3 linked regions of the Styela clava genome follow. The protein of the gene in region 1 binds, or shares a complex with, the protein of each later gene. Links are inferred from orthologs where the notes say so. Each region holds a gene or a part of one and is shown on either strand. Other genes may lie near its edges.

The links.
Region 2: WASH complex subunit 4-like (region 1) and WASH complex subunit 1-like share a complex: the UniProt entries of both Drosophila melanogaster proteins name them as parts of the WASH complex. The link is inferred for Styela clava from reciprocal best matches to the Drosophila melanogaster genes SWIP and wash.
Region 3: WASH complex subunit 4-like (region 1) and WASH complex subunit 3-like share a complex: the UniProt entries of both Drosophila melanogaster proteins name them as parts of the WASH complex. The link is inferred for Styela clava from reciprocal best matches to the Drosophila melanogaster genes SWIP and CCDC53.

Annotation. Positions count from the first base shown.
Region 1 is NC_135264.1:10,522,975-10,530,759, forward strand, and holds the start of WASH complex subunit 4-like, read left to right. Parts: upstream 1-4,735; 5' UTR 4,736-4,770; coding exon 4,771-7,785. UniProt on the Drosophila melanogaster protein: Acts at least in part as component of the WASH complex which may regulate wash nucleation-promoting factor (NPF) activity and is required for its membrane targeting during endosomal sorting.
Region 2 is NC_135263.1:1,569,134-1,576,727, reverse strand, and holds the start of WASH complex subunit 1-like, read left to right. Parts: upstream 1-4,520; 5' UTR 4,521-4,577; coding exon 4,578-5,984; 3' UTR 5,985-7,594. Other genes in the region: large ribosomal subunit protein eL31-like, read right to left, coding at 365-462, 1,382-1,441. UniProt on the Drosophila melanogaster protein: Acts as a nucleation-promoting factor by activating the Arp2/3 complex to induce actin polymerization. Participates in both linear- and branched-actin networks.
Region 3 is NC_135255.1:16,060,020-16,066,587, forward strand, and holds WASH complex subunit 3-like, read right to left. Parts: upstream 2,283-6,568; 5' UTR 2,105-2,282; coding exon 2,054-2,104; intron 1,946-2,053; coding exon 1,781-1,945; intron 1,381-1,780; coding exon 1,202-1,380; intron 1,093-1,201; coding exon 997-1,092; intron 717-996; coding exon 614-716; 3' UTR 538-613; downstream 1-537. Other genes in the region: uncharacterized protein LOC120331925, read left to right, coding at 3,452-3,543, 3,809-3,902, 4,832-4,929, 5,677-5,783. UniProt on the Drosophila melanogaster protein: Acts at least in part as component of the WASH complex which may regulate wash nucleation-promoting factor (NPF) activity and is required for its membrane targeting during endosomal sorting.

The sequences.
Region 1 (7,785 bases):
AAAGATGTTACATTCATTACATTGCTTTTGCTCGTAAGTTGTTTCTCGTATTTACCTCTACCCAGGTTTTGTTAAAGTAGACACCAAACGTGGTGATTTAATTAATAAATTGAAAATTACTGTTTTACAATTACATTTTTGATTACCTTATCCATTTACTTGCCGCTCGAGAATTTCGGTCATATCCTATGTCAGGTAAAACAGAAATATCATCAATCCACAGCAATCAAATCAGACGTTTTCGAATATAGTGGGCTATTGTCACAACGTTCTGTATACTTCGAAAACTCGTCGCTATTTTAATATCCGTAATTGAAAATTAGATTATTTTGAAACGTTTTCGAAAGGGGTAAAATTAACAGTTTTTATAGTTAACATCTGGATTAATATGGGAACAACGAATCTCGACAATACATGGACAAGCCGAGTCTCTTGAAGATGTAATTCAAGTAATATCGGGTACAATTTTACTTGATCGCCTTTCTAAATTATCTATATCGAGTACACTGAATTGACATATCAAGTTTTTGTGCCTCAAATAGATGTTATTTTGGTTTGAAGGCCTTAACGTCTTTATTCAAAGTCATTCACAGGCTGTATATCATCTCACTAAAGCTATTTATATTCACACAATGAATATTTTACTAAACTCAATGCCCAACCCAAATATTTTTTATTTTTCCCAACAATGGTCAATCACGAGCAGCAAAATCGCATAAGTACCCTAAATTGTGTGCCCGAAGCATGAAACTATTTTTGGACAAAATATTATATTTCCGGGCAAAATCCGTTTGTTCCGATCCACAAATAATTTTTTTAAGGCGGTGTGTGGGATTTTGAAGTCACGAGGAGTTCTACACCCATCCTTACAGACTTAATTCATGCAGCTAGCTGGCATAATTGATTAGTTAGCTACTCGTGTTAGACATGGGAGCCGGACGAGTGGTTGTAGTTTGCCAGAATGGGATTTTTTTCGATCACTTCTACAGTTTGGTGAGTTCAAAGGCCAGTGTGAATTTATTTTTTGAGAAACTGGTACTACATGCAGTTGCAAATGATATTGAATTAATTACAATAATAAATGCACTATTTATTATGCAGTAGAAACGAAGTCCCTGAAAAATAGAACAAATCTACTCCAAGCGAATTGTACAAGACAATTTAATATATATGATAAAACAACAATCCCGAAATCCCGGAGTTTAGGCTTGTTACTCGATTCCTGATTCCCAGAATTTTCAAGAAGGTAATTTTTGTCGGATCAATATGCCGATTTTAAATATATTTCATTTTTATTGGATTTTTTCATAGGATATAGTTTCCCTTCACTTTACTGTATCTAGTGCTTAACATCCGTTGTGCTTTTATGTATGGACCTTTCCCCGACCTTTGACCGCCGGAAAATTCTTCCTATACTTTATCATTGCAAAATTTTCGGGGCTATTTTAAGAGTGCTTTTGCGAGTTGGCGCCTATAAATTGGGTATGTGTTCCAAGCCATCATTATGATTCATCGCATACAACAATCTGTTTTTTAAAAGTACCGGTAAATAATTTCAGGCTAGTCTATCACAGCTATTTCTACACTAATTTTTTATTATTGCAATTAAATTAAAACTCCTAGGAAGACAGAGTGATCATTGAATTATCTGATTTTTATTTAAGTTTCCGAAACGCAACTGAAAATTAACGAATAGAGATAAAAAAAAAACGCGAAAACGAGTTAATGTTTACAACCACACTTGAAAATCTGCCTGAGTGAGAAAAGTGTCTGAGCGGATCACTTCAAAAGTGTCACTTTTTGCAACTACCTGATTGGCCAATGTCACGAAGTAAACAAGGAAGTTGATGCTCGGGGAAAGGTCCATAAGATTTCGATCACGCCCTATTATATCCCGACACTGGCATCATGCATTTTACAGCTAAGCCATAATTAGCTAAATTCAGAAAAAAAATCGCGTCATTTGTGCAATACATCCATAATAATATGCTTACTCCTGTAATACCGATGTATGGGATAGGACCAGTGGTGGGATTCAGACGGTTCGCACCGGTTCTATAGAACCGTCTCAAGAAATTTTATGAGATCAGCAAACCGGTTAGCTTTACTGATTACTGTCAATGTTCTGTTTGTAACAGAACCGACTGTTACCGGCATATGATATTTGGGACCTCCTGAAGTATGCGCACCAAGATGGCGCACAACCTGAACTCAGGTTGTGTACCAAGTTATTGTTCAGGTTGTGCGACATCTTGGTGCGCATACTTCGGGAGTACCGATATTTGTGATGAAACCGGCTGACAAAAAATTTGAATTTCACCACTGGATAGGACCCACCAACTGTGTTAAAATCAGGGTTCATTTTATTACTAAAACAGTTCACTGGGCATTCAAAGTTTGGCGATAAAGATGGAGAATGTCTACCGACGTAGGAAAGCTAATCGTATGGGCGCAATCTGGCCGTGTTATCAATGATAACGGCCTGTTTACAACTCAATATTACATTAAATATATATAATTTCTACTCAAATTTTCAACGTATCCGTTTACTTTCAAAAGTTTCCAATACTGAATAATCATGCGATTGTTGAGTGAGAATCACGATGTCAAAATTTCTAATTTCGTCCAGAAATCACAGCCCCAGTGGTAGCCAATACGTACATAGAATTATGATAGTTATTGTAGTTGATTTAACTTGCTTCAAAACGAAATCGGTGGAAATTGGTTTCAGTAAGATAAAAAATGAAAAAGTTGCGTATGAAAAATACACATTTATCCAAAACCTGACTTTTGATCTTCCTAGTAAACTAGGCTACTAACATACGGCTAGTGCCATTTTAATATTAAGGAAGTATCCATTTTAGTGATTATCCAAGTGAATATAATAACCGGTTATATGCACTTTGTTGAGGATATGCGAGTATTTCAGTGGGACCACAAGCATTTTAGTAGATTACATATTTTTTCATATTTCCCTATACAGATCAGAAACTAGCTGTCTATAAAATTCAGCAATGAGACTTTCATATTAATCGTCAGTTATTCGAAGCTTATATTATTCTAGTTTATTATTTCTTTTGAAAGAACTCCTTTTCACCATAGAGCTTCCTTTTGTCATTTCTGCAACAAATAGTTTTTTGTAATAATTTTTTGTTTTACTTTTTCAATGAATTCAGACCGATTTCCGATTGCTTTGCTTCCGATTGCTTTGCTTCGTGTTGACGATTCTATTTCCTACATCTAATTTAATTTTAAAGTTGGACGTTTGCACCCAAGTATTTATGCCTGAAATATATATTATTTAAATTTACTTTAATGTGTTGTTTGCTGTTTGGGCTGTAGGGTAAGTGAAAGGGTATCAGATTTTTATTTTTTAGATTTTGCGCACTTTTCTGATTTTCCGCTATTTGTTAGTTTTGCGCGTATTTCGCTTCTTTGTTTTATTGTATCAAAAAATCGAAATGAACTTACTTATTTCAGTGGAACTTAGTGTTTAATTGGGGGCAATAGACCCCCTCGGTAGCTGATGTAGCCTTAGCCTATTGGGCATAAGAATAAGATATCATTTTTATCACGTTGGATAGGAAAGTCGATAAAACGACCTAATCGTATGGCGTACTATGGCCCCTCGTCCGGTTACCAGTCCATGTCGGGTACGTAATTGGTTTGCCAGATATTTGTTTTATATGAGGCAGTTGCGTGACCCGGCAGTGGAGAGTCCAGCAATCATCTCTCACATAGTTATCCCCTCTGTGCCCGAACCTGCCAATCTACGCAAAATTCGCTTTATGTGTGCACTTTTTCTTAATTTGTAAAATTTCGAGATTGTTTAAGTAAAATTCCAAAATTTCAGAATAGGATATCATTTTTATTCCGGGGATGTTGCATGGACTTGATTTGTAATTTATGCACTAAATCCCTCGTTTGGTTGGCACACAATATATAAAGATACGATGTGATATTTCATTAATCTGGCTTCTTACCAAAAATGGCTAGAATTGTTTTGAGTTAAGCAAAAAATTTACAAAAAAAGTTGCTTCAAAGGATATCGCTATTTTAGTATGTACATAGCTGACATAGCCATTTTAGTAGGAAGTTGTCGCGATTTTAAAAGGTGGGAAAATAGCGGACATAGCCATAGCCATTTTAGTAGGAAGGTATCGAGATCGCGATTTTAGAAGGGACATCGCTATTTTAGTAGAGACATTGCGGACATGGTCTTTTTATTAAGTACAGAACAAACACAGCCATTTCAGTAGGGACGTATCGGGATCGTGATATTAAAAAAGATATACCGGTACCGGTAGTCATTTTAGTCGGGAAATAGCAGACAGTTTTTCGTTTTCAGCCTTAGCTCGATGCGCGACACCACCGAGCCACACGGTACGGTACGATACATGGCAATGTTATACCGTATCAGTAGCTACCGGTATTACGTGAACCACCCAACGACGGCGAGGAGTCCAGCAATCCTCTCGCACATAACCATCCCTGCATGGGATTCGAACCTGCGAACCCATGCAGAGTAATTAGAGGTGCGACGTTGGCGAGCGTATTCATAACGCTTAGCCCGTTGAGCCACACCGCAGCGCTTACTGTCTGTAGTCTTTATTTCATTATTTGAGCAAAGACAGGAATATACCACCCACAGACCCCATATCTATATCAAGCTTCTGATGGTACGGTAGTGTCTATATTATTAGTTTTTTTTTTTTTATGCTTATGCAACACAGCTAATAATTAGCCCTAATTAAATGCTTTTTGACAATTATGGCCGCTACTGAACAACAGGATTGGGTGTTAGACGATGGTACTGAAAAGCTAGCTGGGGAAATACAACTACGAAGCTATTCCAAGTTCATTTCAGGGTACTCCCAGCAACTTGCGGATTTGGAAACGGCTCTCGGAAGTTATAGCCTTGATGCATGGGATAGGCATTTGGATCCGATTTCGTTGGACACATCTCCGCATGAAAGGACGTCACTTTTGGATTTGATAAACACAGAAAACAAAGTGTTGAATAAGATTATAATCGCGTTATCTTCTTTATGCCTCGAAGTACAGCATTTGGAAAAAGAGGCAAAGGAAGAATTTTATGATGCGTTATTGTTCTATGGCGAAGGAGTAGAAATAAAGGAAGAAGATGGAACACGACAATCCCAAATTGGTCGTCTTTTGCCATTATTACAAAGATTGTCAAGCTTTGTAACAAGAGGAAAAGAAGTCTTAAAAAACATGATCTTACAACTTGCAGCACTACATAACAAAACGATGCCTAAAGTTATGGAAGTCGGACAAATTCACTTTACAACTGTATTTGAAAGTATCGGAGCGTTACTGCGCATCATGATTACTTTAAATGAAATTGTAGCTGCTAATACTGTGTTAAAGAACCATTGGATTCAATATAAAGTTGTGTTGAAGTCTGTATATCAGGATCCGTCTAAATATGGCGTCGATGCGGATAAAATAAAACCGTTTGAAAAAATGTTAGCCAGAATCGAAAGGCAGATTTTAGATGGTAAAATACTGGATCATTGCTGGCTACAAAATTATGACGACACTGGTATTCCAGTCAGTAAAAATACACTTTTTGCTGAAGAATTTGCTACCAATATAAAAATTATTTTTGGAAATGTAGAACCGAAAATTGGTGACGGAACTGAAACGACTCAAAGGTTACAGTATGTGGAATTATGTGCTTTATTCGCTCTTCATGTGATGATTTTTCGAGACTTGGACAAGCGACTTTTTCGCCAATTGTGGGATGTTTACAAGAAGCTGCCATGCGTTGTTTTGACTAGTAACGTCATTTGGTTCGCTGATGAGTTTTTGAAACGATTTGCTGGAAAAGCAATCGACAAGAAAATGTCTGATCAAGTAACCCAATCTCGACTGGCGTACTTGAATTCAAAACAGCAATCCTTACCTAGGGAAGCCCAAAGTTACTTTTTGACAGTAAGTTCTTGGCTTGTCAAAATGGAGTCTATACAGACGCAAGACAAATCAACTGCCGATCTCAATAACAAAGTCAAAATTCTATTGGAGGGAATATATTTATCTTTTGGTTTAAGTAACATGGTAAGCCAAGTGATGAATCTGCATGCAGCAATGCAAAAACCAATGTCAAGATCTGAAGTATTGGCTCTTTGTCGTATTATGGGATTAGCGAAAGCTATTGAAGACAGTTTTCATCGTTGTGCGATGCAAGTTATGGAAAATGAACAACAGATGGTGCAGCATTTACAATACCAAATTCTTGCTGGTTTACAAATGGGAAAAAGAAGAATCGTAGTCGACAAAAAATACAGCGATCGAAGGCTCGATATATTATCAGCTATCATGCTTGCTTCGAATTCTATTAACGGACCACCGACAGCTCAAAGAATTCTTGTTACAAAATTAGCCATCAGTATCGCCGATCAAATGAGAGTATTTAAAGATGAGGAATTGGGTGTTGTCAAGACGATGATCGACAGATTGATTATTTTTGGAAACAGCCTTAAATCATCTATTCGTAGAGCATCTGATTTTTCTTTCTTTTACTGGCATCGTGCAGTCCTTGGAATATTTTTTGACGGAGTTTGTCAAGATCCTACAGATGCAGGTCAAATGCATTATATGTTTTCTGTTTTGAATGATTGTGTTCCCCATATACGTAGAAGCAAACATGTTGAAAACACAGAAGAACTGGTGAAACATTACTCCGAAGATGTTATAGCAATTTTGAAACAGAACCTGTTAGTGAAAGTATGCAAGGAGATTGAAAACGACCTACGCCTGTCTGTCCATACCCATTTAAAATTAGATGATAGAAACCCGTATAAAGTTGGACTGAAAGGCCTTCGACAATTATTGTCCATTAAACCGCTACATTTTCTGAACCAGATGATTGACATAAAAGATTATGTGTCACATTACATCGATACGACATTCTATAATTTGACAACTGTGGCTTTGCACGACTGGCGAACCTACGGAGAAATGAGAAATTTGGCTGTACAGAAATATCAACTCAGAATGCAAGAGGTTCATCTACCAAATCAGACTCTTGAACAAGGTCTTGATGTCTTGGAAATCATGAGAAATATTCACGTATTTGTTTCGAAATATCTCTACAACCTAAATAATCAGATATTTGTTGAAAAGTCTAGCAACAACAAGCATCTAAACACGATCAATATTCGCCACGTTGCGAATTCCGTACGAACCCACGGAACTGGAATCATGAATACGACAGTGAATTTTACTTTCCAATTTCTAAAGAAAAAATTTTACATTTTTTCTCAGTTTTTGTACGATGAACACATCAAATCAAGACTTATTAAAGATATTCGGAATTTCAAGGAAAATCGTGTCGCACTCGGACAGAGGTATCCCTACGATCGCGCTGACAGATTCAATAAAGGGATTCGAAAGCTCGGTCTTTCACCTGAGGGTCATAGTTATTTGGATCAATTCCGACTGCTCGTTTCTCATATAGGAAATGCAATGGGATATGTTCGCATGGTAAGGTCTGGCGGAATTCATTATTGCAGTGATGCAATACGTTTCGTTCCTGATCTTGATGATATCGTGAGTTTCAATGAACTAGTGAGAGAGGAAAACATAGGAGATGAAGTAAATGAAGCCGCGTCACATTTGGATACTGTGATTGATACCTTGTCGAAAAATTCCGCTGAAGGATCGGATTATTTTACCAAACTTGTTGATGTTTTTTCGCAAGAATTCCGCAGTCAGAAAAACATGCATTTGAGGAATTTTTACGCCATTCTGCCGCCTTTG
Region 2 (7,594 bases), on another chromosome or scaffold:
AGAAATGCACATAAATTCGCCATCAAGAAAAGGGCACTTCGTTTCGTATGCTGGCTTTTCAGTATCATTTTTTATAGTTTGCATGATTACCTAACATTTTTAACTTTTGGATGGGGTTTAGCCCTGAAAACAGTGCGAAACAGAAATGAACAGTAAGCGATGGAAAAATTGAGTGTTTCGCACATTTTGCTCTGTTCGGCAAAAAACGCTGTTTTCTAGTAATTATCAAAACCAAAATTAGACATTAAATGAGTACCTGTTTATTTTGATTTGACCGATAAACAACACATATAAAAAAAAAACACATATAAAAAAAAACACTTGGTAAAATCAAAAAAACTGGCAAATGGAATAAACAACTTACATTCCATGAATCCTCTTATGCATATGAATCGTATATTCCCTCGTTACGACATCTTTCATCGCCCCACCAGAACGCTTCTTGTCTTTTTTCGCCACCATCTACAAAATTGAAATAACCATAATAATAATGGCATCGAGCAGTATATGATCGTTGGCATCCGAATCTCTGTACAACAGCAATACAAAATGACAGAATTACATGTATAATAAAAATTTTGTTGCAATTTTTCCAGAAAATAACAAACATGAAACGATGAACACACAGAAGATTAGGAAATTGAAATAACGGCGCGGCGGTGTGGCTCAACGGGCTAAGCGTTAGGAATACGCTCGCCACCGCACCTCTAATTACTCTGTGTGGGTTCGCAGGTTCGAATCCCATGCAGGGATGGTTATGTGCGAGAGGATTGCTGGACTCCTCGCCGTCGTTGGGTGGTTCACGAAACCGCTGGTCGGTTACGGCTTCCTCCACCACCAAGTCCATGCTTCCGAAAACAAACAATACAGTAAAAAAACTAATCCCATACCCGACTTGGAAAGGTAACCGGACGAGAGGCCGTGGTTCGCCATATGGATAAGCCGTCTTATCGGCTTTCTTCTCCCCCGGGATAAATATGTAAATCCTATCCTATCCTAACTGGCAACACCCTTCAAAAAGGTTTCAAGCATATAGAAGTATTCTCATAAAACAATAAATGCATGGTTACAGGTAATAATATAACTTATAGGAACCTTCTGATTATTATGCCAATTGCTTTTGAAGTAAACCACATACTCAATTGAGCTGTGACCTCAATTTTCCCACAGCAAATGCAGAAAATACTACACAAGAAACTCTTTCGGTATACGCCACTTAAAGATAAAATCATCGTATCATATACGGCTTTTAGGACTAAATTAGAAACGACAACTTAAAATAAGAGTTATGAATTTTCCATAATTATCAAAATATCAATGAAAAACTTCACTATTGTTTAGATCAGGACAGATTAAAATTGGGAGTAAATCGAACACTTACCTTGATTGGCAGGACGTTCCCGAAAAGACCGAATCGACAACCTCGATCCAAAAGCAGCATCAAAGCTAGGGTCAAAGGTCGTAACCTGTGTTTCTAAAACACTTATCAAATTTTCGCTATGAAGAAATGGAGGTTTTGTCTAAAATGTTTAAATTAGTTTAATCTTGAAATTATTTATTATTTTAATTTCATAATCGAGCAAAACTTCAGAAACTAATCGTTTTAGAATTTTAAATTCACAGTTGAATGAGCTCGTCATGTGATTAAGTTGAGGGGAATACCCTGAAATAGTCGTCCATTTTCTCTTTAAGCTGTCGCTGTTTCTTGTGCTTATTTCAGAGATAGTTTTTATATTTATACCGGTACCGACAGAAAGAAAAGTCGATAGAACGGCTTATTTATATAGCGCACTATGGCTTTTCGTCCTAGGTCGTATCGTTGCCCCCCAGTCATATACCGAAAACTATTTTTTTGATATTTGTTTATGTGTGCATAAATTGATTTCTTGGTTTGACAAAATGAAATAAACTCTTTCTCTCTATTAACTGCCCATCTCGGGTATGTGATTAGTTAGCCAGTTCAGCAGTTGTTCGTTTCCTGGTTTCAGTAGGTATGTTACAAAAAAATTAAAGTTCATCCGATTTAAATAAAAACTGCACCAGTGGACCAGACTGGATTCCATGGCAGGCCAGTCTGGATTTCATGGCCTTTTTGAACGAGAAATCGGGCGTGCAATCAGAAATTCCCGCGTGCAAATAAGAATTCCTGGCGTGCAATTATAGCTCACGACGTGCAAAACAACTGCACTCGCGTGCAACTGACTTTGACATCAGATACCTCTCAATACATCCGCGTAAAATTACCGGTATCGGATAAAAAATACGTTGAATCAGAGAAAAAATGGACGTTTGACCTTTGACCGCAAACATTATTTCTACAGTTTGTCGCTAATTTTGAGAGTGTTTGTGCGACTTCGGATACCGATACTGTTCAGTACATCCGCGTGAAATTATTGGATAAAAAATACGTTGAACCAGAGCAAAATGGACATACTTTGTCATTAATTTTGGTAGTGTTTTTACGTAGAATTAATAGATAAAAAATACGTCAAATTAGAGCAAAATGGACGTTTGACCTTTGACCCCAAACATTATTTTCATACTTTGTCACTAATTTTGGGAGTGTTTGAGCAACTTTAGATACCGGTACTGTTCAGTACATTCGTGTAAAATTATTGTATGAAAAATACGCTGAATCAGAGCCGTACTTGGCCATTGGTGCGGAGGCGATCTTTTCGTCCATAACTATTCTCACGGGATTCCTATTTCCAACATTCAACACGATATGGACCTTTCCCCGAGCATCGACTTCCTTGTTTACTTCGTGACATTGGCCAATCAGCAAGATGCAAAAAAGGACGTAACAATGAGAGGAATTTTTCGCGGGTCAAAGGTTGGGGAAAGGTCCATGGTCTTTTTGCTTCGCAATATTTCGATCGGACCAAATCTTGCAAGCTGGTATTTGTCGACAATTGTGGAGTTATAATATTTTGGCATCTTTATATTACTGGATTATTGATTTTAAAACCATTTAAACCGAAATTTTCGGCGTGCAAAATTGATTTCGCTCGCGTGCATTTTTGCGGAGCGCTAGCGCCCTCGGGCGTGCACCTGCCATGGAATCCAGTCTGGATGGCAGGTGCACGCCCGAGGGCGCTAGCGCTCCGCAAAAATGCACGCGAGCGAAATCAATTTTGGACGCCGAAAATTTGCAATTGCTCACCAATGTAAATCGGTTTAAATGGTACCGGTATCCAAAGTCGCACAAACACTCTCAAAATTAGCGACAAACTGTAGAAATAATGTTTGGGGTCAAAGGTCAAAAGTCCATTTTTTCTCTGATTCAACGTATTTTTTATCCGATACCGGTAATTTTACGCGGATGTATTGAGAGGTATCTGATGTCAAAGTCAGTTGCACCCGAGCGCAGTTGTTTTGCACGTCGTGAGCTATAATTGCACGCCAGGAATTCTTATTTGCACGCGGGAATTTCTGATTGCACGCCCGATTTCTCGTTCAAAAAGGCCATGAAATCCAGACTGGCCAGTGGATAGATCTAAGTGAAAATAAGAAAACAATATCATGTTTGCGAAAAACGGTCAAGAATTACCGGAGATATCGGCATTTAAGTACCGCCCGATAGGCCAATTTTTTCCATAAGGATTGTATTGCGCCGACTCAAAAACTGTGACCGCAGGAATGTCAGACTGATAAACAACAGAATGTATCTCGGCTATTTTTGAAGGTAATCGAAATAAATTAGAAACGAAAAGTTATTGTGAATAAAAGAACCTAATGCAAAAAAGTTTACAAATTCTTTTCAACGAAATTAGCTGCTTTCCAATTAATTATGTAAGAGAAAGTCTCTGAACTTTACATAACCACTGGTCGGCAACGACTTTCCCACTACGCAAGTTCCCGCCTACGCTGCAATTAACTGATTCAGCGTTTTTCATATCCGACCTTAATGAACGATTTATTATCATTTAATATTCCTTAACTCGTAAGATATTTACCGCGCTTAGTGAAACGCTAAACGAGAGAAATCGCTGCGAGGGAAAATGTCGGCATTCAATCGATGATGCGCGTTGACTGACGCGTGCTAAGATCATACTTCTCGTGCCTTGAATTAATTTGTACCGTTTCGTAAACGTATGCGAATTGACTTTTTTAATAAGAACTTTAATGAATATGAAAAAAGAACACATATCAATCACTAATCTTTCGATGTGCGTCACATCTAAGAAAAATTGGGATTATTTTAGAATGCATATAACTGTATAATGTCGCAGTAAGAGTAGTACATGAAAATTTTGAGTATCTTAGAAAGTTTGGCTGCACACTATCACAACATATTCAGATGTTGGTTCAAAAAAGTATGGATTATTGAGACATTACATAAATACTAAAATGCTTTCAAGTTTGTGTGCAATAAGATTTGAGTAGGCTTGACAGTTTAGGGGTCGCCTGTAACTTCGCTCAGAACTCAATCTTCTTTATTTCCGAGTGAGTATATGTGCTGACATGATATTTTTTGACCAAATTTCTTAAAAACTACAACTCAGAATACTGACTTTACATTAAAAAGATTTCTTGCCCTTACCAGAACTTTTGTTAGTTATAAACAACAATTCAAAATGGTAGAAAGAGAGCAAATGTACAGCATTCCAGTAATCCCGTTCGATTTACGACGGAATGAAACGATCATGCAGTTTGCGGACTCATTAGATTATCTCTCTGGAGTTTCAGATGACGTTTTTGCAAGAGTGAACAACAGAGTCGCGGATAACAAAAAGAAACTTGATGCTTTGATGGACAGAATTAAAACCGCTGAAGCGCGAATCGAAAAAGTTCGGGGAAGTAACCGAGCGACGCAGGTTTTTTCTAGTTCGAAATACCCAGCGTCCGAAGAACGAGAGAGATATATTTCAATGTTCAAAGATATGCAAAGCTCGTTAAAGGAAGTCAAACAGAATTATCGAAAAATAAAAACAAGGCATTTAGCATTTGAGGACGAAAATTTAAAAAACAAGATGCAAATTTACAATCTCCCTCGACCGAGAACCAAATCGGCTCCATACGTCGATCAAAGTGGGGAGGGACTTGGGGGATTACCCTCAAATATTGCATCCCTGAGTTCGCTATTACTGTTCAACTCATCCGAGAACCCGTATAAGAAATATACCATTTTCGATCCTCTCGGTTTTACGACGAAAACCAAAACTGGTCTAGATGAAGAGAAAGCAGATGACAGTAGGCTCGGGGACGCACCAATGTCAATCAGCAATAGAGAACAAATGGAACGCCACGTTGCAGAGAATTATTTTTACGTTCCAGATTTGGGGGATGTACCAGAAATCGACGTTCCGATGGATTTGCCTGATTTACCTGGCGTTGCGGATTTAACGTTCAGTTCGGACGTGAGCGAGAGTATTGCTCCCTCGTTACTCGCAATTAGTAACTTACCAGATTTACCAGGTGTCGGAGATGCGTTACCTGATGTTCCAGATAGTGGCAGTAAAGAGGAAACTCCGCCTCCTCCCCCACCTCCAAGTTCAAATCCGCCACCCCCACCTCCTCCCCCGTCTGTTCCAAACACATCAGCGCCACCTGCTGGAGTCCCGCCTCCTCCCCCGCCCCCTCCACCACCACCCCCCTCTGCTCCGAGCGCAGTTCCGCAATCTGTTGCTACTCCTGATGGTGGGCGCTCTAATTTACTCGACTCGATTCGCAAAGCTGGCGGTGTCGGAAAAGTGAAACTGAAGAGTAGCAAAGACCGAAAGCTCGCCAAAAAGAAAGAAAAAGAAGCGAAAGCTGCTGCGAGCTCGTCAGGCGGTGGCGATATGATGTCTGATCTAGCAAGCCGTCTCGCTATGAGACGAAAAGGGATTTCGGGAGCTAAGGGTGCGGAACGGCCTGCCTCAGCCAATGATAATAATAGTAACCTTGGAGGCGGTTCGGCGATGGAGAAAATATCTGCGATGATTCCAGCGCCGACGCAAAGTCAAACGACGGACGCAGGCGATGATGATGACTGGAATTAGATAATTTTTATTTGAAGGGAGGATTTAATCCAAAAATTTTTTTTTTAAAACTATCAAAATTTGTGTTTTTGGAGAAAAAATGAGTATTAATATAACATTTTCAAAATGAGTTCACTAAAATCACTAAAAATAATGAAGCTTGAATATAGATTTTTTGGTGCTCCCGAAGTATGCGAACCAAGATGGCGGACATCGGAACGTAACAGGTTAGGGTTAGGCGATAATTTTTTTCCAATTTTCCTTATTTTAGTCCTATTATCAGTTTGAAGACTAGCCAAGAGCCTCCCGTAGTATTTATACATAAAATTATGGCCTAACCCTAACCTAGTACACATATTACATTCCGATGTCCGCCATCTTGGTTTGCATACTTCGGGAGCCCCGATTTTTTAAATGGAAATGGTAAATTTAAAAAATTTGTATCTTTCAACCAATGCAAAAATGTGAGATTCGAGTAAATCACCACGCCACGTTTTTAAAATCAAATTGCTAATTACTCAGTTGGGGTAGAAATGATTTTAATTCCCAGCGCAATCTGCATTTCTAACACTTACTGGATAATTGCTAATTTTCTTATTTTGAGAGGTGGCGAGGCTTTGTATAAAACAGGGGTGGCCAACCTGTTTTCAGCCGCGATCGACTAAAATCTTCAAAATAGCTCACGATCGACTGATCGGTAATGAGGTCATACACAAAAACAAATGAGTGCTGAATATGCAGATAACTGCACAAATGCATACGAAAAATTACATCGCTGCCAATAAGTTTGGCTGTGTGGGCGCATTTTTAATGAAATCGCCACACAAAAACTGGGTCTAGAGTGGCAATTTTTTAGGGTACCGGTATGTTATTAAATTCACTCAACATCAGACACAATCGACTTCTCACCCCTGGTATAAAAGATCCAAAAATGTTTACGGCGAGATGCTATATAAAAACTGTTTTGGGAAAATCATTGAATAAGAATATAAAAATCAATAAAAATTTGGATACTGTATTAAAATTTTTGACTGAATCACCAATAATTGTGCAAGTTTTGTAGTATAAATTTAAGTATATAGAATATTTTATTTTAAACATTCAAATCACTATTTATTTGTGTGCCATGGAAGAGACCAATTTCAGACATTTATTAGCGATAATTGAAGTTGAAATTTTCCATAGAAATTCAAAAATATATTTAGATGAACAAGGTTTTTTTTATTAACAGTATTAGAGAACGCTTGGTTAGATCATACAGTGGGAGTGTTTTCAGAATCGCATGCTTTTTGTCTTAAGTCTTTCTGCGATATATCTAAATTTGAGATTCATTTTGTACAACTCTTAGAACTCTCAAATTCAAAACTGTAGAATTCAATTTTTTTTGTCTGTGATGTCACAGCAATCAATTAAGGATAAAACGAGAATATCGGTCGGAGACCAAAGACTTATCGATGGAAACTGCAGTTTCAATTCATGACTCTATAGTGACACCGCATGTCCCATCACTAATCAATTATTAACTTGCTAATTATACGACATAATTCATCCAAAATCAATGGGCTTCTGGTCCGAGATATGATAAATGCACATGCAAAATTAGGAGCAGATTCAACCTCGCCTTTGTAAGA
Region 3 (6,568 bases), on another chromosome or scaffold:
GAACCAAGCACTGAATGTACTACTGCCTTATTAAAGGCAATTCGCTGTGTTCATTTCGATATGTCTTGATTGTCATAGGTTAGAACAAATGCTATTTTTCTGATTCTGTGGTTTTAAATGATCTCCTTCAAATCGAGGAAGAATGCAAATTTGTGATGTGTATTAAATTATTTGCGAACTTTATTTATGTTGTAATTAATATTGCACCTCTGAAAAAGGTAATAAAGATCACTGATTCAAAGTTTGTTTGTATTGGAAGGGGTGTCCTGGTAAATGCCAGCCATGCGATTTTCAAACTGTTTGGTAGGGCAGGGCCCCAATGAAATATTCTTCCTGAAGCTTGAGACACTGTACACATAACATTATAGACTCAGATTTGAATGCAAATTCCCAGAAACCCTGGCCTAGAATGTACTCGAATCCTGTTTCGAAACCACTGTTATATAGCAGATTTCATGAGCGAACAGGACTTGAATTTAACTTCCTTACACCAGAGCAGCTCCAACCTGTAACTGCTATTGAAACAACATATACAAATTGTTAAAATCTCAATATGCTTAATAATATTGCACCAATGAAGAAATCAGAAAAATAAATAAAAACACTGCAACAATCAATCACTGAAATCGTCATTTGAAGATAAACTTTGACTCTCGTTATCAGAATCTTCATCAGTTGGAGCTTGTCCACCATCAGGTACAGGGGCATCAGGCGTACTGAAATTAACACAAAGTACTGTTATTGCAAACATAGGTATCAATTTCATGCTCATTAACATGGTTAAAATATTCATCTGAAACCTATCAAATTGCTGACCTTTTTACAAACCAGACTGGTATATATTTAGAATAGCCATGGGAGAGAAAAGCTGTAGAGACAACCCTTTCATATGCACACTACATCCTCGCATCCGATTACCAGTCCATGTCAGCTATAGCATTAGTTGGTGGTTTTTTTGTTTGAAATTTGAAAAAAACATCACCAGATCCAACTTACTCGAGCATATCTGGATCCAAACCTTCAGCCCTCATTTTATTTGCAACTGCCATCTTCGGTACACCTACCATCACCATCTTGAGGTATTTGGCATATCTAGAAGTAAAAAATTGTTAAGACCAAATATACCAGAAGAAGCGATGAGTAAAGACAAATTTTTTAGAAAAATAACAGATAAACTAGGAAAATTTTTTTAGAACAGTACCTGGCATCATTCTTAACTAATACAACATTAGGATCAGGGGCAGGTGGTTCATTATCTTCAGCAGGGGGAGGGGCCTCAACCCCATTAGGGGTAGGGGTACTGACAGGCTCTGTTGAGGCAGGTTGAGTAGGTGACGGTTCCTCTTTCTTGACATCATCAAGGCCAGGAATGGATGAAAGCTAAAAATACAATTGAAATTAAGTTTTGGGCCATCACATCAAACTAAGCCAATATGCATTTTGTAAATCAATAGACAGAACGTATTCAATCAGTCCTATAATTTTTTTTTAATTTTCTCCATCTCAAAAAGAGAAGAAATAGTTTTATTTGAAGTCACATTCAGTTTACCATAGTTTGCTATTATAAAATAATGATCGATCCAATTTTGTTTTCGTCATCGATATAATATTAATGAATATATATATATGAGTGATATTGTCACAATTGTGTATAACATTTGGTGATTTGGTGAAAACTTTCAACTATCAAGCATATACCGATATAAACAACAGCTATTGTGTAGTCTGATTGTTGAATGAAAATATTTCTCATTTGTTGGAAAAAATAAAGTAAAGTCACCTTAGCTTCTAATATATTCAGAGCTATTTCCATTCTTTGCATCTCTAACGATTGTAATGCCAACTTTTCCTCTGCCATGTTTGAGAATTTATTGAGAAAATTTGCAGTGTGTGTGATAAAGTGGTTCATAAATGTCACAGAACGCCGTTGATTAAGCGGCGCCATCTTGAAATAAAAAATACGCAGGTAAATTATCATTTTATGGAAGAATATTTAATGGTCTAGTTTACAGTAGCGGTACCAGTAGAAAAAAAATTATCAAATATTACGTACTTTTGTAAGATCCACAGTTGGTCCCAAAGCGGGAAGATTAACGTCATCCATTATTTTGAACTGAACTATTTACTGTCCATATATTTTGATAATCGCATATATTAATCTTATTCCGTTTTTTATTTAGCTGTATTTTATTTTAGTAAAAACAACAACATTTCTTCAAATTACAATGTCCGCTGCCTAATCCCTCTCTATAACAGCGAGCCCAGGATACGATACGGTGAATGACTTTTATAAGAACAAACCAAAAATCAGCAGACGATCGACAGTTGAGAAAAAAGGCAGCAAGGTGCCTTATAAAAATTAAATAAGCGACGTCGCATTAGGATAAACAAAGGTATAAATGGATAACTTTGGAGGTGCGCGCATGTGGACCTGCCAATGGGCCAAACACACCAAAAAACTATTGAAAATTTACCCCAAGCTTCATATTTTTAGCCTGAATCGATGTGGTAGATTTGTCACGTGATCAGCCGCCATTACAACGTTCTTTGCCCAGCGGTCGTTCTATCCGTTGAGCGCAGTCAGCGACGAGGTGACGCATAGACAAAGAAATAGCACACGGCTTATGCGGGACCTTCCTCATGCGTATGTAATGTGGGAGTCGAGCGTTTGGGTTCCAAATCGGCCGTTACTGCATGATTTGTCGAGTATCGAGAGTTGATTAGGCCAAGTCGCGAAAACAAAACGGCGCGCTTCAGATATTTTTGCCTTCCCTTGGCCTAAAAACAAAATGGAGGCCGTTTTACATTTTAGCCACATTATTACCTCACCAAAGACGTCGATTTTTCGATTTTGTGACGTTGGTAAAACTTGGATTTTAAATCTTTTCTGGCCGAACTTAATTTCGCTTCACTTGTGTCAGTTTTGGAAAAAAGAGCGGAAAATAGTTATCAGTTTACAGGTTTTGGTGTTAGAGCGTCGATGGCAATTACTGAGTTAGGAAAGCCGGCAAATCGTTGTTGGGCAGTATAAGTGCGTTTATGGAATGTTTCTGCCCTGATTTTCGTAGTATTCCCGAGAATAGGAGAGACAAATATATATGATATTAATTTATCTAATCCAGCCATACCAAATTCATCAGAACGTCACATCGCCTGATTCAGTAGATATTACCTAAGCGTTTGAATTCACTGCCAGCCAGCTGCCTTGTACACCCGATCGCGGGTATCGCCCGTGGAAAGACGTATCACTTATTTAGATTTCCCGCTTTATATTACGCGACTTGTGCGAGAATACCGGCAAAGGAGAGTTGATAGACTGATTGGCAGCCCGTTTTGCAAACGCTTCAAGGAGTACAGGCAAATATATCTGACGTGCAAAGGTAACTCATGCTATGTGTTGCTACAGCTATATATTGATATTATCCAATGTTCCAAGCAATAATTTTTCAATATGGAAAGTAGGAGAGATTCACACAACTCATCTGAGCAAGGACAAAAGGAAGCTTTTTTAAATGAGCTTAGTCAATTTCTTTCGGACAAAGGGTAAGCTAAAGCCATAATACAATTCAGTTAACTTCTTGTACTACTTAGGGCATACACAAGCATAAATCATAACACACTGATTTTTCATCTAAACAATTTTAAGTCAAGTCTTTATTGCATCATATGTATTAAAATTTGAAATCCAAATTTAAAAATTTATTTGATGTTAAATCTTTCACGTTTTGATTTTAGAATTAGTACAGTAGTAGATTGTTTTATTTGTTGAAGTGATTTTTTCTAAACCTTTATGTTATTAATATTTCAGGAGATATGTTTGTCGAACTCCAAATCTTGCTGGCCGAACGATAGATCTTCACGATTTATACAACAAAATTACTCAAGCTGGCGGATATCAGAAGGTCTGTTGTTGATATTTATGTTGATGCATTTTCTCTTGTTTCTTTCTCACTGTTTTGTATTAGTGAACCTCACTGTTTCTTCATTTTATTTCAGTATTTGTACAATCAGACAATTTATGTAATTTCACTCTTGGTGAAGCATGTATGTGTTTATACCCTTTTTATTTTTACTTATGGCTTTTACAACTTATGGCCATGGCTTGACTTCCATGATTTATATTTTGTCAAGCGACTAAAATTTTTTGATATGTACAGTAATATATATGTTGGTATTGTATCTATGTTTGCAAATTCCAAATAATTTCATTATTTATATGCTGTTTGATTCGGTTTAAATTAATATAGGTAAAATATTACCACACATATTATGATATTAAACTAAAATCCTCAAACTTATTTCAAGATGGTTTTAATTTCAATGTTTTCCAGATTTTCACATATGGAAATTTATCGTGGATATAATTTTTTGTGAATTATTCTTGTTGTAACTAAAGGCCATTATCTTGATAATAGCTGTATGCTTGCTTTGGTTATTTTTTTGCCCGATTTTTGCAGTCTTAGCTTAGTGACAAAAACAAATATATCTGCGTAAGGTAATAAACCACAACAATTCACCTGTATGCATAATTTCATTTCAACATGCTTACAAACAGTAACAACTTTTTTTCTGAGAGTGTTTAAGTGACATGCAATTTCATAGTTTTTCAGTCTCCAGATTTCATTATAATTTTATTTACATAGATACTATGCACAAATAGTATACAGGCTTTTCTCTGAATATATGCTGCAACTTGACTAGTTGTTGGAAATTGTTCTCTATACTGCACGCCAAGTAGCACTGGCTACTGCTACTAACTAACATCATCGAGTGGGGGCTAATTGTGTTTTATGTGTAAATGTAATCTAACCAATGGATCAATTCATTTTAGGTGACTGATAGAGGGTTTTGGGAAGATTTTTTGGAATACTATGGGTTTCCTGGAATATCAGCGACTCTTGCCTTTGGATTGCAGAAGATTTATCAATTGTAAGTCTTTAAGCCTGCCTTGCCTGCTGGCCAAAGCCATAATATTTTGAGATATTATTAAATGTATTTTGAGGTTTTGGGTTTAATAGAGAAGTAGACGAAACTAATATATATTTTAATCAAACTCAATTTAATAGAAAAATATTCGAAACGAAAGTAGCAGGTACATGCTAGAATCCTTATTTACACCAATCATTTTCATTGTTTTGATGAACCCATGTTAAGTCAGTGATACATGTTCACTTCAAAATGAAGTCAGTTTGAAAGCTTTGAGATGCAGTTTGCTAATGATACCATTGGAATACTCTCTTCTTATTCGTAATGTATAGCAGCTGTGTGTTGTGATTTTGAAAATGTAGGGTTGCATTTATAAAATTATTTGCTTTTCTATGTTAATTAAAGCTTTCCACAGTTTGAATTGTTGTTTAGAAAAAGACAGGATTGCCAATTTTTTGTCAGTGTATAATATGTCAAATTATCAAGTAACCCATTTGTCAATAATAGGAGCTAACAGTCCATAGGTTTTGTGGAATTTGAAACAAGACTTTATAAAACTAATATGAAAATACTGTAGTATTTTGTTAGGAGTCTCTTGTAGAAGGTATTTGATTTGTTAAGATTCTGTCTGGCGCAAGTAGAATTACTGTGGAAAGACTTCTAATTGTCTTATTTTACACAGGTTTTTAGCCTTGTCTCATTTTTCATATTAACGTATACCTTCAACGTTTTACTTTTACTCATTCGTAGATATTTAGAAGATTATGAACGGGTTCATTTCTTTGGTGACGATGAGCCACAACCTTACTCTCGACTTTACGACGGAAAATTGAGAAGATTCAGATATCCAATATCTGGTTAGTTTTTTTTAATATTTTGATAAATTTATCGAAAAGTGTTTTATCTGTAGGTGAATTTTTTCGTATATATTTCGACGAGAATTCTCATTTCAATGAAAAGTTTGTTATTAGAATTTTTGTGAATTCTTTGCAACTATGGACTTCAACTTTTATGATTGAGTTTACCTTGGCATGAGAAGGTACTAAATATAATTTATAGTAACTAACCATCCACTCTGCCCTCCATACCTTTGAGCTCATGGTAAATGTATAATTTAAATATGCTGTAGCAATAATAAAGATGACTATTCTATCTGATTCGAGAGACTATTCTATCTGGCTGCACATCAACACAAATGTATTTCTGTAACTTTCGTTCCTGCAAGATTGTTGAATCACAGAGAACTATTGTAATAATAACCAAGAAAACTTATTCGATATAAAACATTTTTGATCTAATATTTATTAATTCAAGCAAAAATAATGTGGTTGTTCTGTATGTGAGATTCATGTGGCACATAATACCAGTATATAAATTTCAGAGATAACTAACTTGTTATTGCCATTTGCCAATGACGTTGTATATGTTAATGCTGGAACATTTTATCCAAAAATGCCATCTGTTGAGCAAAGCATATGATACCCACGAGACAATTGAAATTTTTTGTAACCTGACGAATAGCAGGAAATTATGAAAAACATGTACATTTTCCACAGTGTTATGTCTCTTACATTATATTTTGCAAATGTCTACATTAGTGAACCATAATTTAATTTATTATTAATATGCTATAATGAATACA